Sus scrofa: one gene and its partner. The protein of the gene in region 2 interacts with the protein of the main gene of each other region in a biochemical or structural test. Links are inferred from orthologs where the notes say so. Each region holds a gene or a part of one and is shown on either strand. Other genes may lie near its edges.

Region 1 (6,294 bases), on a different chromosome or scaffold from region 2:
CAGATCCTTTAACCTACTGAGCAAGGCCAGGGATCGAACCTGCAACCTTATGGTTCCTAGTCAGATTCGTTAACCACTGTGCCACGACGGGAACTCCTGATAAACTCTTAAAGAGTATTTTATAGCCCTTGAATATAGAAAGTATCTCTTTTATTTTTAACTTTTTTTTTGTCTTTTATGCTTTTAGGGCAGCACCTGTGGCACATGGAGGTTCCCAGGCTAGGGGTCCAATTGGAGCTGTAGCCGCTGACCTATGCCAGAGCCACAGCAATGCCAGATCTGAGCCGAATCTTCGACCTACACCACAACTCATGGCAATGCCAGATCCTTAACCCATTGAGTGAGGCCAGGGATTGAACCTGTAACCTCATTGTTCCTAGTTGGATTCGTTTCCACTGCACCACGATGGGAACTCCTGATTTATTTATTTATTTTTTCCCACTTTTTTTTATTACTCAAATGAATTTATTACATCTGTAGTTGTATAATGATCATAACAGTCCAATTTCACAGGATTTCCATCCCACAACTCAAGCACATTCCCCCACGCCCCAAACTGTCTCCTCTGGAGACCATAAGTTTTTCAATGTCTGTGAGTCAGCATCTATTCTGCAAAGAAGTTCAGTCTGTCCTTTTTCAGTTCCACATGTCAGTGAAAGCATTTGATGTTGGTGTCTCATTGTATGGCTGACCTCACTTAGCATGATAATTTCTAGGTTCAGCCATGTTGCTAAAAATGCTGGTATTGGAACTCCTTATTTTTAACTTTTTTTTTTTGTGTGTGTGTGTGTGTGTGTGTGTCTTTCTGCCTTTATTAGAGCTGCTCCTGTGGCATATGGAAGTTCCCAGGCCAGGGGTCTAATTGGAGCTGTAGCCATCGGTCTACATCACAGCCACAGCAATGCCAGATCCAAGCCGCGTCTGCAACCTACACCACAGCTCACGGCAAGGCCAGATCGTTAACCCACTGAGTGAGGCCAGGGATTGAACCTGAAACCTCATGGTTCCTACTCGGGTTCGTTAACCACTGCGCCATGATAGGAACTCCTGTCTCTGTATTTTAACCTTATCTTTGCCAAGTCTCCCCACAGGAGTACTGTGTTCTAACCCTGTGAAACTATTTAGAATTCCCCAGATGTGCCATCAGAGGGATTTATTTCTCCCTCCACCCCCCCAGCTGCCAGGGAACTCCATTTAGGGCTTTACTTTTACACACTGTTGTTAATTTTTCAGATTCAGCTTAGGAGTTCCCATCGTGGCTCAGTGGTTAACGAATCCGACTAGGAACCATGAGATTGCGGGTTCGATCCCTGGCCTTGCTCAGTGGGTTAAGGATCCAGCGTTGCTGTGAGCTGTGGCGTAGGTTGCAGACATGGCTTGGATCCCACGTTGCTGTGGCTTTGGTGTAGGCTGGCAGCTACAGCTCCGATTAGACCCCTAGCCTGGGAACCTCCATATGCCATGGGAGCGGCCTAAGAAATGGCAAAAAAAAGACCAGAAAAAAAAATTCAGCTTAGACCTGACTGCTCCTGAGAAACTGTTCCTGAGACTGCTTTTTAAATGTAATCACAAAAGTATCATCACAGCCCTATCAAAAAAATGAGGAATCTCTCAATGTCATCATCTTATCAATTTTGCATTTCTTTTGTTCTATACATGCTTTTAATTTTTACGATTTGCACCCACGTAATCTCCCAGTTTACTTTTTGCGCAGATCGATTTGGGATGTTGCCTTTGGATGAGCCTGGTGTTCTTGTTAGTGAATTCTTAGATCGTTTTCAAAGCCTTTGTCACTTGGACCTCCAGCTTCCTTCCCTGAGGCCAGAGGACTTAAAAACTATGGTGAGTTGTCCTGTCTAGCATGCACTAGCCTTCAGTTTTCACCAGCATGATGCATTTATTTTAATGACAAGAGGGTGCCTTTTTTAAGATGAGAGGCTACTATAGATTTTAGCACCAAACTGTTAACGTCTGATTCCTGTTATAAATGTCCCCCTGTCCCTGAGCCAAAGCAAATTTTTTTCACCCTGTCATAGTTCTTTATTATTCTTAGAACAGAAATAAAGGCTGTAATAAGCTCTTTTGCTGTGTCAAAAGTAAATTCAGGAGTTCCCGTCCTCGTGGCTCAGTGGTAGCAGACTAGTATCCATGAGGATGCAGGTTCTATGCCTGGCCTCACTCAGTGGGTTAAGGATCTGGCCTTGCTGTGAGCTGTGGTGTAGGTCACAGGTGCAGCTCAGATCTGGCGTGGCTGTGGCTGTGGCTGTGGTGTAGGCTGGCAGCTGTAGCTCCGATTCAACCCCTAGCCTGGGAACCTCCATATGCTGCAGGTGTGGCCCTAAAAAGACCACAAAAAAATAAATAAAAAGTAAATTCATTGTCAGACCAAGAAATAAACAGTAGTCCGTTGTCATTATTTGGGTTTGAAGTTTACAGGTTTTAAAGTTAGTGTGAAGATGTGGTAGTTCTAGGAAAACTGCTCCATTTCTCAATCAGCCGACCCAGGGCAGTTCACCAAGCTTGTGTGTGATGACCTTAGCCTGTACTAGAAGTCAGTCTTCTCCAATAAAGAGAATTGCCTTCATGTTTGTCGGTTTTTTTCATGATTTTTGCTTTGTACCATCTGGGTACATCGTTATCTGTCACCTCTTTTTATGGTGGTTGAAACTTTAAGTCTTTCATCTTGGTTCCTTTGTAGTGCTTGACAGAAGACAAGATCACTCTTCTCCTGCACCTGCTTGAAGATGAACTTGATCATCGAACTGATGAGAGAAAAACTGCAATCAAATTAGGCTCTGACATCCAAGTCCACGTCACTGCCTGTATTCTTTCCGTGTGTGGCTGGGCGTGTAGGTTAGTGAGCTTGCCTGGGAACATGAACTGCGACGACATTCTTTCCCCATATATGTCAGTCACTCATAGTATGTGGCGATCACATGGTGTTTCCTGTGAGAAAAACAGTAAAAAAGAAAAGCTAAGGGGGTGGAGGGGGGACAATAAGAATTAGTAACAATGAGAATTAGAACTCAGGAATTCTTTTTTTTTTTTTTTGGGTCTTTTTGGTCCTTTTTTTTTTAAGGGCTGCACTCGTGGCATATGGAGGTTCCCAGGCTGGGGGTTGAATCAGAGCTGTAGCTACCTGTCTGCACCACATCCACAGCAACTCAGGATCCAAGCTGCACCTGCAGCTTACACCACAGCTCATGGCAATGATGGATCTTTAACCCACTGAGCAAGGCCAGGGATTGAACCTTTGTCCTCATGGATGCTAGTCAGGTTCACTAACCACTGAGCCACGACAGGAACTCCCACAACTCAGGAATTCTTGAACACACCTGGACTATCACTTCCCAGCTGGGAATTTGTGTTCCTATAAGTGGTGAAGCTCCTTATTAGTTTTAAAAAGGAAAAACCAGTTTAATTGATAAAAACTACCCAAGGAAACACCAGCTGGACTCTTCTTGGCCCCAAGCCGGTGTTTCCATTCCAGCTGCTCACTTTGGCACAGAGTCTTCTGAGACAGAAGACTGTCAGACCGATTTGGATTTACTCTAAATATGCTTTCTGTGGTAGCTTAAGGAGTATTTTTCATTTACAAGGAAAAAACTTTTAAAAGGGACAGGAGAAATTTCGAAAGCACACCTTTAAAACAGTCTGGCCATAGAGCACACACTAAGAGGCCTGGGTCTTTCCAGAGGAAATATGTGAGAGGTGATGAAGTTGGGTCCTGAGATCAGAGGACAGGGGCCCTGGCGGAGGTGGTTCCCCGTCCACCGGCCGTTACAGAGATCTGCTCGCTGAGGTTACGCACACTCGCCGACCATTGTGCTTAGGCCCTTGGAAATGTGACCCTCTGCAAAAACGCCCTTTCTTTTCTGTTCCTGCCCAGTTCTGCTCTGGAGCCCGTGCAGCTCTCCCTGATAACATGTTCACAGTGCATGAGGAAGGTGGGGCTCTGGGGCTTCCAGCAGATGGAATCCCTGGCCGACCTGGATGCCTCCTTCGGGCTGACCAGCTCCCCTGTCCCCGGCTCCGAGGGCCGGCCCGAGCGCTTCCCTCTGGTGCCTGAGTCTCCCCGGAGGATGATGACTCGGAGCCAGGATGCCACGTTTTCCCCAGGCTCAGAGCAGGTATAGACGTGGCTGGCTTGTGCGGGGTGGGCTTTTTACAAACAGCACTCTTGCCAGAGTGTTATTGGTGGGAATGAACTTAGATTAGTTAATTTAGGATAATCTTCACTTCTAATTACGTGGATCAGAATACTTCAGAGTGGTTTTATTCACCAGTTGCAGTGGAGATGCCAAATTCATTATTTTGTGTAGAAATCTAGTATTCTTTTTTTTTTTTGTCTTTTTAGGGCCACACCCATGGCATATGGAGGTGCCCAGGCTAGGGGCCTAATCGGAGCTACAGCTGCCTGCCTACACCATAGCCACAGCCACGCCGGATCCTTAACTCACTGAGCAAGGCCAGGAATCAAACCCTCAACCTCATGGTTCCCAGTCGGATTCGTTAACCACTGCGCCACGACAGGAACTCCAGAAAGTAAATTCTTATAGTTTATAAAATATCATCTTTTGGGGTTCTCTTGTGGAGCAGGTTAAGGATCCAGTGTTGTCACTGTAGCAGCTTGGGTCGCTGCTCTGGCACGGGTTCCATCCCTGGCCCAGGAACTTCCATATGCTGCAAGAGCGGCCAAAAAAAAAAAAAAATTAACTTTCACATGCTTCTAGAAATATTTCATTAATTCCATCACCTCCCTTCTCCTTCTTCAGGCTGAAAGGAGCCCAGGTCCCATTGTCACCCGAACTCGGAGCTGGGACTCTTCCAGTCCTATTGACCGTCCTGAGCCTGAGGCCGCTAGCCCCACCACCAGAACCCGCCCAGTGACCCGAAGCATGGGCACAGGAGACACTGCTGGCCTGGAAGTGCCATCTAGTCCTCTTAGGAGAGCCAAACGAGCTCGCCTCTGCTCCTCCAGCAGCTCGGTGTGTGCGCCTGCGTGTGTAGAGGTCCCTGAGCACAGTCGCACGCCAGGAGAAGCGGGCATGAGCCAGTCCTGTGGTTCTGAGGAGGCAATGGGAATAAGTTTACGGATGGGACAGTTGGGGGGAGTTCCCAGGTGGCCTAGTGGTTAGGATTTGGTATTGTCACTCCTGGGGCTCGGGTTTGATCCCTGACCTGGGAACTTCCAAATGCTGCAGGCACAGCCAAAAAAAAAAAGGGGGACAGTGACCAGAGAGGAAAAAAATGAAAGGCTTTGCCATTTGTTTCTCTGAGATGAATTCTGAGGGTATAATAAATGTGTCGGGCCCATGGGACGGCAGTGAGGAAGGGGGACAGACCTGATACGGTATAGGTTTACCCCGAAGGGAGGGAAAGAATTTGAAAATACTGAGAGGGAAATAACATTTAAAGCTGATTTAACGGAGAACATAAAATGAGAAATGTGGGAGTTCTGAGATTCTAGACTTGACAGCTAATAGCAGAGCCTCCCTGAGTTGACGTCGTATCTGCCCGTCATCAACACAGTTTCTCTTCCCCCCTCAGGACGCGTCTCCCCGAGGCTTCTTCGATCCCACCTCTCAGCACAGAGACTGGTGCCCTTGGGTGAACATCACACTTGGCAAAGAAAGCAAGGAGAGTGGTGGAGCTGAGGTGGATGCCAGCACCCCTGCAGAGCCGGGCTGGAGGGCAGTGCTGAACAGCCTCTTGGCCCACAAACAGTCTAACCAGCCCGCTGAAACCGACTCCATGGTAAGATAAGCCGTTGCTGATCCTGTGCAGCACTGGCTGTTTATGGGGTGAGGAGCAGAGGCTGGTCCTATAATTAGCACCCTATCTGCCCACAGCTTTCATTCGTCGAGGTAGACTCATCCTAAAAGAACAGGCAGGGGCCTGGTTCAGTCTTGCTGCCATTTCCCATATGGCATTCCACCAATTTCTGATAAATTCTTTGTCATCTTAACTCAAACGACTCAAAGCAGAAAAGGGGTACAGGAGCACAAAAAGAGGACTAGGCAGCTGCTCCAGCCTCGTGGGCAGAACAGCTGCTCTTTCCATCTGAGTTGCTCTCACTTGCACTTGACGCCTGGCCGGTGAACTTCGTTGTCTGGAGCACGTGCTTGGCTACCACCATTACGATTTCATTCCTCACGGTGTTACTTTGCTGGGTTCCGTGGCCCTAGGCTTGTGCTCGGACCCTCAACCAGCCATCACAGTGATGACTGCTGCTGGGTACCCTGAGAAAACCTGGGTACCCATGACAGCTGAGAAAACGACCCAAGGGTCTGC
Region 2 (7,077 bases):
CTCATAAGCCACACTGATCCAAGATGCCTTTTGGCTATAGTTTTTCAGCATCTCTATTATCATGTACCTTCAGCCTGTTAGCCTCCTTAAACCCAAATTTGGGACTCACCCACCCCAAACTGTGATGGATATTATCATTCAATCTGACTTTCTTTACAAAAGCCATGGCACTCAGCAGAAATGAATCTGATTAGTATCCATGAGGACGCAGGTTCGATCCCTGGCTTTGCTCAGTGGGTTAAGAATCCAGTGTTGTCATGAGCTGTGGTGTAGGTCGCAGACACATCTGGGACCTGGTGTTGCTGTGACTGTGGCATAGGCCAGCGGCTATAGCTCCTTTTCAACCCTTAGCCTGGGAACCTCCGTATGTTGGGGGTGCAGCCCAAAAAAAACAAAAGAAAGAAAGAAAGAGACAAAAAATTAAAGCATGGTATTACCCACTCACTTGAACTTTCCCTGATCAAAATGGGGTGCAGCCCAAAAAAAAACAAAAGAAAGAAAGAAAGAGACAAAAAATTAAAGCATGGTATTACCCACTCACTTGAACTTTCCCTGATCACCAGCTTGTTTATTTTTGGTGTTTCATTAAGAATTTAAAAGTGGAACCTACTTTTAAGAAATGATTACACGGGGAGTTCCCGTCGTGGTGCAGTGGTTAACGAATCCAACTAGGAACCATGAGGTTGCGGGTTCAGTCCCTGCCCTTGCTCAGTGGGTTAATGATGCGGCGTTGCCGTGAGCTGTGGTGTAGGTTGCAGACGCGGCTCGGATCCCGCGTTGCTGTGGCTCTGGCGTAGGCCGGTGGCTACAGCTCGGATTCAACCCCTAGCCTGGGAACCTCCATATGCCGCGGGAGCGGCCCAAGAAATAGCAACAACAACAACAACAACAACAACAACAAAAGAAATGATTAAATGGTTTTTTTTTTTTTTTTTTTGTCTTTTGTCTTTTTAGGGCTGTACCTGTGGCATATGGAGGTTCCCAGGATAGGGGTCGAACTGGAGCTGTAGCTGCCAGCCTACACCACAGTCACAGCAGCGGGATCTGAGCCGAATCTTCGACCTACACCATAGCTCATGGCAATGCAATTCCCAACCCACTGGGCAAGGCCAGGGATGGAACCCGCAACCTCATCGTTCCTAGTCGGATTCGTTAACCACTGAGCCACAATGGGAATGCCTAGAAATGCTTAAACTGTTAATGGAGTATCTCTTTGATAAAGCTAGATGCAGCTTAGACAAAAAACAAAGATTCTGTACTACTATACTGACCTCAAGTTGTCTCAGATAATCATAGATATCTTTCACATATTCACTACAAAGGTTTGGATCCCCTCCATCTTCTGCATCCACATCATTCACTGCAAGAATTACATCAGAGAAAGCCTGACACAAATATTCTTCTGCAGGGGCACAGCCAGATGTTTCCATGGGGCTTGGAGAGGGAGTATCAACCTGAAACAGATTTTGAAACAACAGTTAAGAAGAGCACACGGTCTGCGAATAAAGGTCAGATAACTGGTACCAACTCAAAAGACTACCTGCTGAATAGATATACAATTCATTTAGCTTTTCAAATTTATTCAGTGTATCTTCAGGAAATAATAGGAAAAGTAAAATGCCAACTTAGGCTGAGCCAATTTAGAGGCAGCAGCTAAACAGTTACAACAGAGAGGAAGCAAATTCATATTCAAGACTTTCCTCCAAATAAAACTGGTAAGTAATGGATCTGTTTAGCGATGTCATGTGAAGTTAATCCAAGTGAATATGTTAATCCTTAGTCTTTATTTCAAATTATGGACTGTTTCCCACTGCCCAAAAGAACACAAGTTCTGTTCTGACTACTAAGGATTAACTGACTTGTTATCACAAACCATTTTCCTCAAGCTCCAGTTACCCTGTGGTCCAAACATTGACTGAGCACTTTCTTCAAATCAAGCCCTGTGCTAGACACTGGCTTTATGATGTCCTCAAGAAGCTTTGAATTTAGAAAAAGTAAATGGGAGTTCCCGTCGAGGCTCAGTGGTTAACGAATCTGACTAGGAACCATGAGGTTGAGGGTTCGATCCCTGCCCTTGCTCAGTGGGTTAACGATCCGGTGTTGCTGTGAGCTGTGGTGTAGGTTGCAGATGCGGCTCAGATCCAGCGTTGCTGTGGCCCTGGTGTAGGCCAGTGGCTTCAGCTCCGATTAGACCCCTAGCCTGGGAACTTCCATATGCCGCGGGAGTGGCCCAAGAAATGGCAAAAAGACAAAAGACAAAAAACAAAAAACAAAACAAAGAAGTAAATGAAGTAAAGAGACTGATTCTGGGAACAAGAGTAGGGTGGGGGAAGTTAAGATGGGGATGGGGGAAGTTAAAGAAAGCTTTGGGTGTTGATGCTTGAGCTGTTATGAAGGATGAAAAGGTTATCAGTTACATGAAAGAGGGTGGGAAAAGTATTCTTGTAAGTGGGGAAGCAAAGGTTAGAATCACTATGGGACTTTTAAATGAAAGCTCAGGTCATGAGGTATGGTCAATTAAAGAGTGGGGGAAAAAAAAAAGGAACAAATGAAAACCACAAAAAAAATCCCATAAAACAAAGACTGTGCATGCTACAGTTTTCTGTGCTGTGTCCAGAAGGTCAATATTAAATCCACAGCCTCAGTCACATCCCCTTCCCTTAGACATACAATGAGGCTGAATGACTTTAACAGACCATTTCCCAACCAGCTTTAAGGAGATATTAAAAATTAGTACTTAAGAATGCAATTCATTGCAATTTCAGCCAAGCAGCCTCTTCTAGATGAAATATTTTTCCCTCACAGAAGAAGATACATTTAATATCTGATATTTAATAAAAAGTTCTTGGTGTTGAGGCCAAGTGTTAAGCCATCTTCTTACCCTGCTCTCTGAAGAGCTACATTTTCTGCTTTACACATTTATATATTTCGGTGTTGGCTTATTATTATTTGGTGGCCACATTAGGGAGTAAACAAAAAGGACTTAAAGAGAACAATCTGTGCTTCAGTCAACATATTCTGGTCAGAGATGACTGGTACCTTAAAGACAGCAAAATCTTTGGTCCCTGCAGCTACCACTCAATACCGTAAACAAAGGAGGGGTAGTAAAACAAAGCAATTAAAAGCACAGTTTCTGAAGCCAGATAGGCTGGGTTTGAACCCAATTCTGTCATTGACTAGATGTGACTAGAAGAATACCAGTGCTGAGTATACTATTAACGTGAGCTAATGCATGTACAGTGCTTAGCAGAACCTACTTCCTGTTAAGTACTATATAAATGTTACTATTACTACTATTTGTTCAAATGCTATTCCATACTTGAATAAAATGAAAGGAAACAAACAATCAACAGACTCTAAAATGGTCCAGAAAGTTTACCAAAATAGGTTCAGGGGAAAGTTTCTCTCCTTTAACAGGCTCAGGTTCTGGTTCAGGCTCCAGTTCAGGCTCGGGCTCCCTCTCTGGCTGGGGCTCTAATACAGGTACAGGAGCCTTTTCCAGAGGTTTCGGTAGTTTTTTAGCAACAACTTTTCCAGCAGCTAAAGTTTTTGCTTCCTGTGGATGAAAAGGAGAGAATGGATTGTTTCTCCACCAAGAGCCACAGCTGGAAGGGAGACACTCACAGAATAGTTGAATCAGCATAGTTACCTTTTTCAGAGGCAGTTTGGCCTGTGGCTGTTCACTGACTTTGTTACCGATGTCTCCAAGAGCAGTTCTTGGCCTCAGTCCGGGCTTAGAGGTTGCAGCAGAGGCCACAGGCACGCGCTTTGCGCCTGCCATACTGATCTTCGCCTTATTTTCAGCATTAATTTTCGTGTTCTGTAAGAAGCAAGACGAGTCTGGGAGTTGGCCCCGCCACGTTAAAATAAGTCAAGGGTTAAAGCGGGGCAAAAAAAAAAAACAACAAAAAAAACTGCGGCCCTCAGAAGGAAAGCCGACTGTGAATGGGTTCCCAGGGGAAACCGGGGTTCCAGGGTCTACGCTAAGCTTATGACAAGTCAGTTTTCTCCTGGAACCTCTCCGTTCACCTATTGAGGGATTACGTGCTCAGTCCCCGCCGGACCTAAAATACCATGGAAATCGAAAAAGCCTTCAATTGCAGGCACCTTCCCTTTCCCTCAGGGAAGAAGATTGCGCAATTGGTGGGAGCCCACTCGGGTCCTCCAACACCTTTTACAAAAGGTTTCCGGTCTACCCTCCATCTGCCCCCTCCCCCCAATTAGTCCAAGGCCCATCCGCTTCTCTTTTGCACCTTTCTCTCTCCGTCCGTCTGCCCCCCAAACTCTCCCAGTATGTTAGGGGCCCACCGACCGCCTTCCTCCTCTCCAAATTCGCTCCCACCGTGGGGGAACTCCAGCAGGGGAAACAGGGAGAGGAGACCCAGGAGTCAGGAGAGCCGCGTTTGTTCACCAACCGCAGCAGCTCACCCTGGTGATCCGGAGCGCCATGACTTCCTCTGTACCAGGCCAGGCAGCAGCTCAGAGGGGAGAAGCAGAGCACTGGAGCCCCGACCAGCCGGGGACCTTGAAGCCACCACTAGCTAACAGCCGTTCCTCCGCAGCACGCCGGGAGGAATCCGGCCCCGCCTCGGGTTTAAACCCCGCACCGCTCCCTCCTTATTGGCCTGTTCGTGGCACTCGCTCACTTCCCATTGGCGGCGGCCAGTTCCTCCGAAAATGCGTTTCCAAGGCGATCCCGCGAAGAAGTTCGGGCGGGGGCGGGGCCAGGCCGTCACGTGGTCTGACTCGGCGCCTGCGCCCTGGGGCAGCCGCTACTGCCACCTGATGAAGGGAGGGTTCTCTTTGCCCCACACCTGGAGCAGTGAACTTGTAAGCGACTAAAGTTAGCTGAGACAAGTCACAGCGGCCTTGGGAAAGGAAGAGTGGAGCTCCTTGTTTGACGTGAGGGGCAGTTATGGCTTTAGTCCTACTTGTTAAACACACTTTCCTCTCCTAGAGTGGCTTGTAGCAGGAAATACTTTTATATATACATTCTTTTTTCGTTTGTTCATTCCAACAGCACTCTGGGATAAAAAGGAGGCTCCGAGATGCTTTGGGTGACTCCCAGGATCACAAATTAGTAACACGGGATTGAACTTCACTTTCTTTGGATCCATGAGGTTTCCACACACTAATTGTCTCTTAATTTTGCAAGCCAGGCTGCCTCTTAACCTGCCAGATTACTTCAATCAAGTTGTTTCCCAAAGCCAATCTTTTTCTTTTAGTTTTTTACTTGAAAATAATTTCAAACTTACAAAAGTTTCAGACAAAAATGTAACAAGGAACACACATAGAGCCTTTATCCAGATTCAAATATCCTTAACATTTTTACCCCATTTGTTTTATGGTTTACTTAATCTTATATATAGATCTATGTATAACTGTATATAAATTTTTTTTCTTGGAAATACCTGTTGTGGCTCAGCAGTAACAAACCTGACTGGTATCCATGAGGATTCAGTTTCCATCCCTGACCTTGCTCAGTTGCCCTGAGCTCTGGTGTGGGCTGCAGATGTGACTTTGATTCAACCCCTAGCCTGGGAACTTACATATGCTGCACGTGCGGCCCTTAAAAAAACAAACAAACAAACAAACAAAAAACCACTTAAATATTTGAGGGTAAGTTATATATATCATGGCTCCTTATCTGTTAAATTTTTAGTGTGTATTTCCTAAGGAAAAAAGCATATTCTCTTAATGTAATCACAATAGAATTAGCAACTGCGTAAATTTACTATAACATTTTATTCAATCTAGTTTGTATTCTAATTTTGTCGCTTGAGCAGTTTCTAGCACTTTCTTTCCTCCAGTACAAGATCCAGCTAGGGTCAGTGTTGCATGTAGCCTCCTTTAGTCTGGAACAGTTCCCACAGCTTTCCTTTGTCTTTGTTTTTTTTTTTTTTTTTTTTTTTGTTTTTTGAACACTGATGGTTTTGAAGAGTGCAGTACTCCCTGCCACTTTTTAGGAAATAGAACTTTCTTATTTTTGTGTTTGTCTAATGGTTCCTGTGATTTACACCGAGGTTATGCATTTTTGGCTATTATGCCGTGGAGGTGACATCATATTCTAAGGGGATCAACTTTGCAAACATGTGGTGTTCACCTGTTCCCCATAAGGGAGATTAATTTTGATCACTTGGCTAAGCTTTTACCTGGTTTTGGCACTGTACACTTAGTTGTTTGCTTTTTTCTTACAACTAAAGTGTCTGTGAGAAGACACTTTAAAACCATGCTCCTCATCAAGTTCCCTTCGATTTCACCTCCCCTCACAGCAGCACTTGCTTAGGAAATGCTAACATTGTTTTCCCATTGCCATGGGCTCTCTCCAGCTAGCTGAAGCTGAGAAAGCACATACATTTTTTTTCTTTTTAGGGCCGCAATCGTGCCATATGGAAGTTTCCAGGCTAGGGATCAAATCGGAGCTGCAGCTGCCAGCCTATGCCACTGCTACAGCCACAGCAACCTCAGATCCAAACCAAGTCTCCAACCTACACCACAGCTCATGGCAAGGTTGGATCCTTTAGCCCACTGAGGGGGGCCAGGGATTGAATCTGCATCCTCATGGATACTAGTCAGGTTTGTTTCTGCTGAGCCAAAAACCACGTACTTTGAATGAATGACTCTAGGATACCAGGCCTTTAGCAGACCTAAGTGAATACCCTATCCTCACCATAGGAAATTCTTTTAACATGGCAGTTCTCAACTGGGGAACATTTTTTCTCATGGGTGGCACTTGGCATTTCTAGTTGTCACAATTGGGAAGATGCTACTGGCATCTAGAGGGTAGAGACCAGAGATGCTTTAAAACATCCTGCCAAGCACAAGACAGCCCGCACCCCATAGGCACACACACAGGTGATTATCCAGTCTCATGTCAATTCTCCGAGATTGCCAGACTTTAGAAATCTTGCCAACTATGTACACATCTGTGACTCATTTCTGTTAAGAATGTTGACTTTTGATGTTTAATTGATACAACTTTCATGGATCATCTCCTTTTTTAAATTTAATTTTTAGTTTATCTTTACGTATAGTTGATTTACTATGTTGCGAATCATCTCTTTTCTTTTTTTTAAA

What was found.
Region 1: of the proteins of CCNB1 (region 2) and ZC3HC1, one has a biochemical effect on the other in vitro, tested with the Homo sapiens proteins (3 studies listed by BioGRID, with this or other methods). The link is inferred for Sus scrofa from reciprocal best matches to the Homo sapiens genes CCNB1 and ZC3HC1.

What each region holds. Positions count from the first base shown.
Region 1 is NC_010460.4:18,752,992-18,759,285, forward strand, and holds part of ZC3HC1 (nuclear-interacting partner of ALK), read left to right. Parts: intron 1-1,714; coding exon 1,715-1,842; intron 1,843-2,698; coding exon 2,699-2,853; intron 2,854-3,889; coding exon 3,890-4,130; intron 4,131-4,775; coding exon 4,776-4,988; intron 4,989-5,550; coding exon 5,551-5,757; intron 5,758-6,294. UniProt on the Homo sapiens protein: Required for proper positioning of a substantial amount of TPR at the nuclear basket (NB) through interaction with TPR.
Region 2 is NC_010458.4:47,335,743-47,342,819, reverse strand, and holds the start of CCNB1 (G2/mitotic-specific cyclin-B1), read right to left. Parts: upstream 4,582-7,077; 5' UTR 4,450-4,581; coding exon 4,429-4,449; intron 3,821-4,428; coding exon 3,650-3,820; intron 3,557-3,649; coding exon 3,380-3,556; intron 1,455-3,379; coding exon 1,272-1,454; intron 1-1,271. UniProt on the Homo sapiens protein: Essential for the control of the cell cycle at the G2/M (mitosis) transition.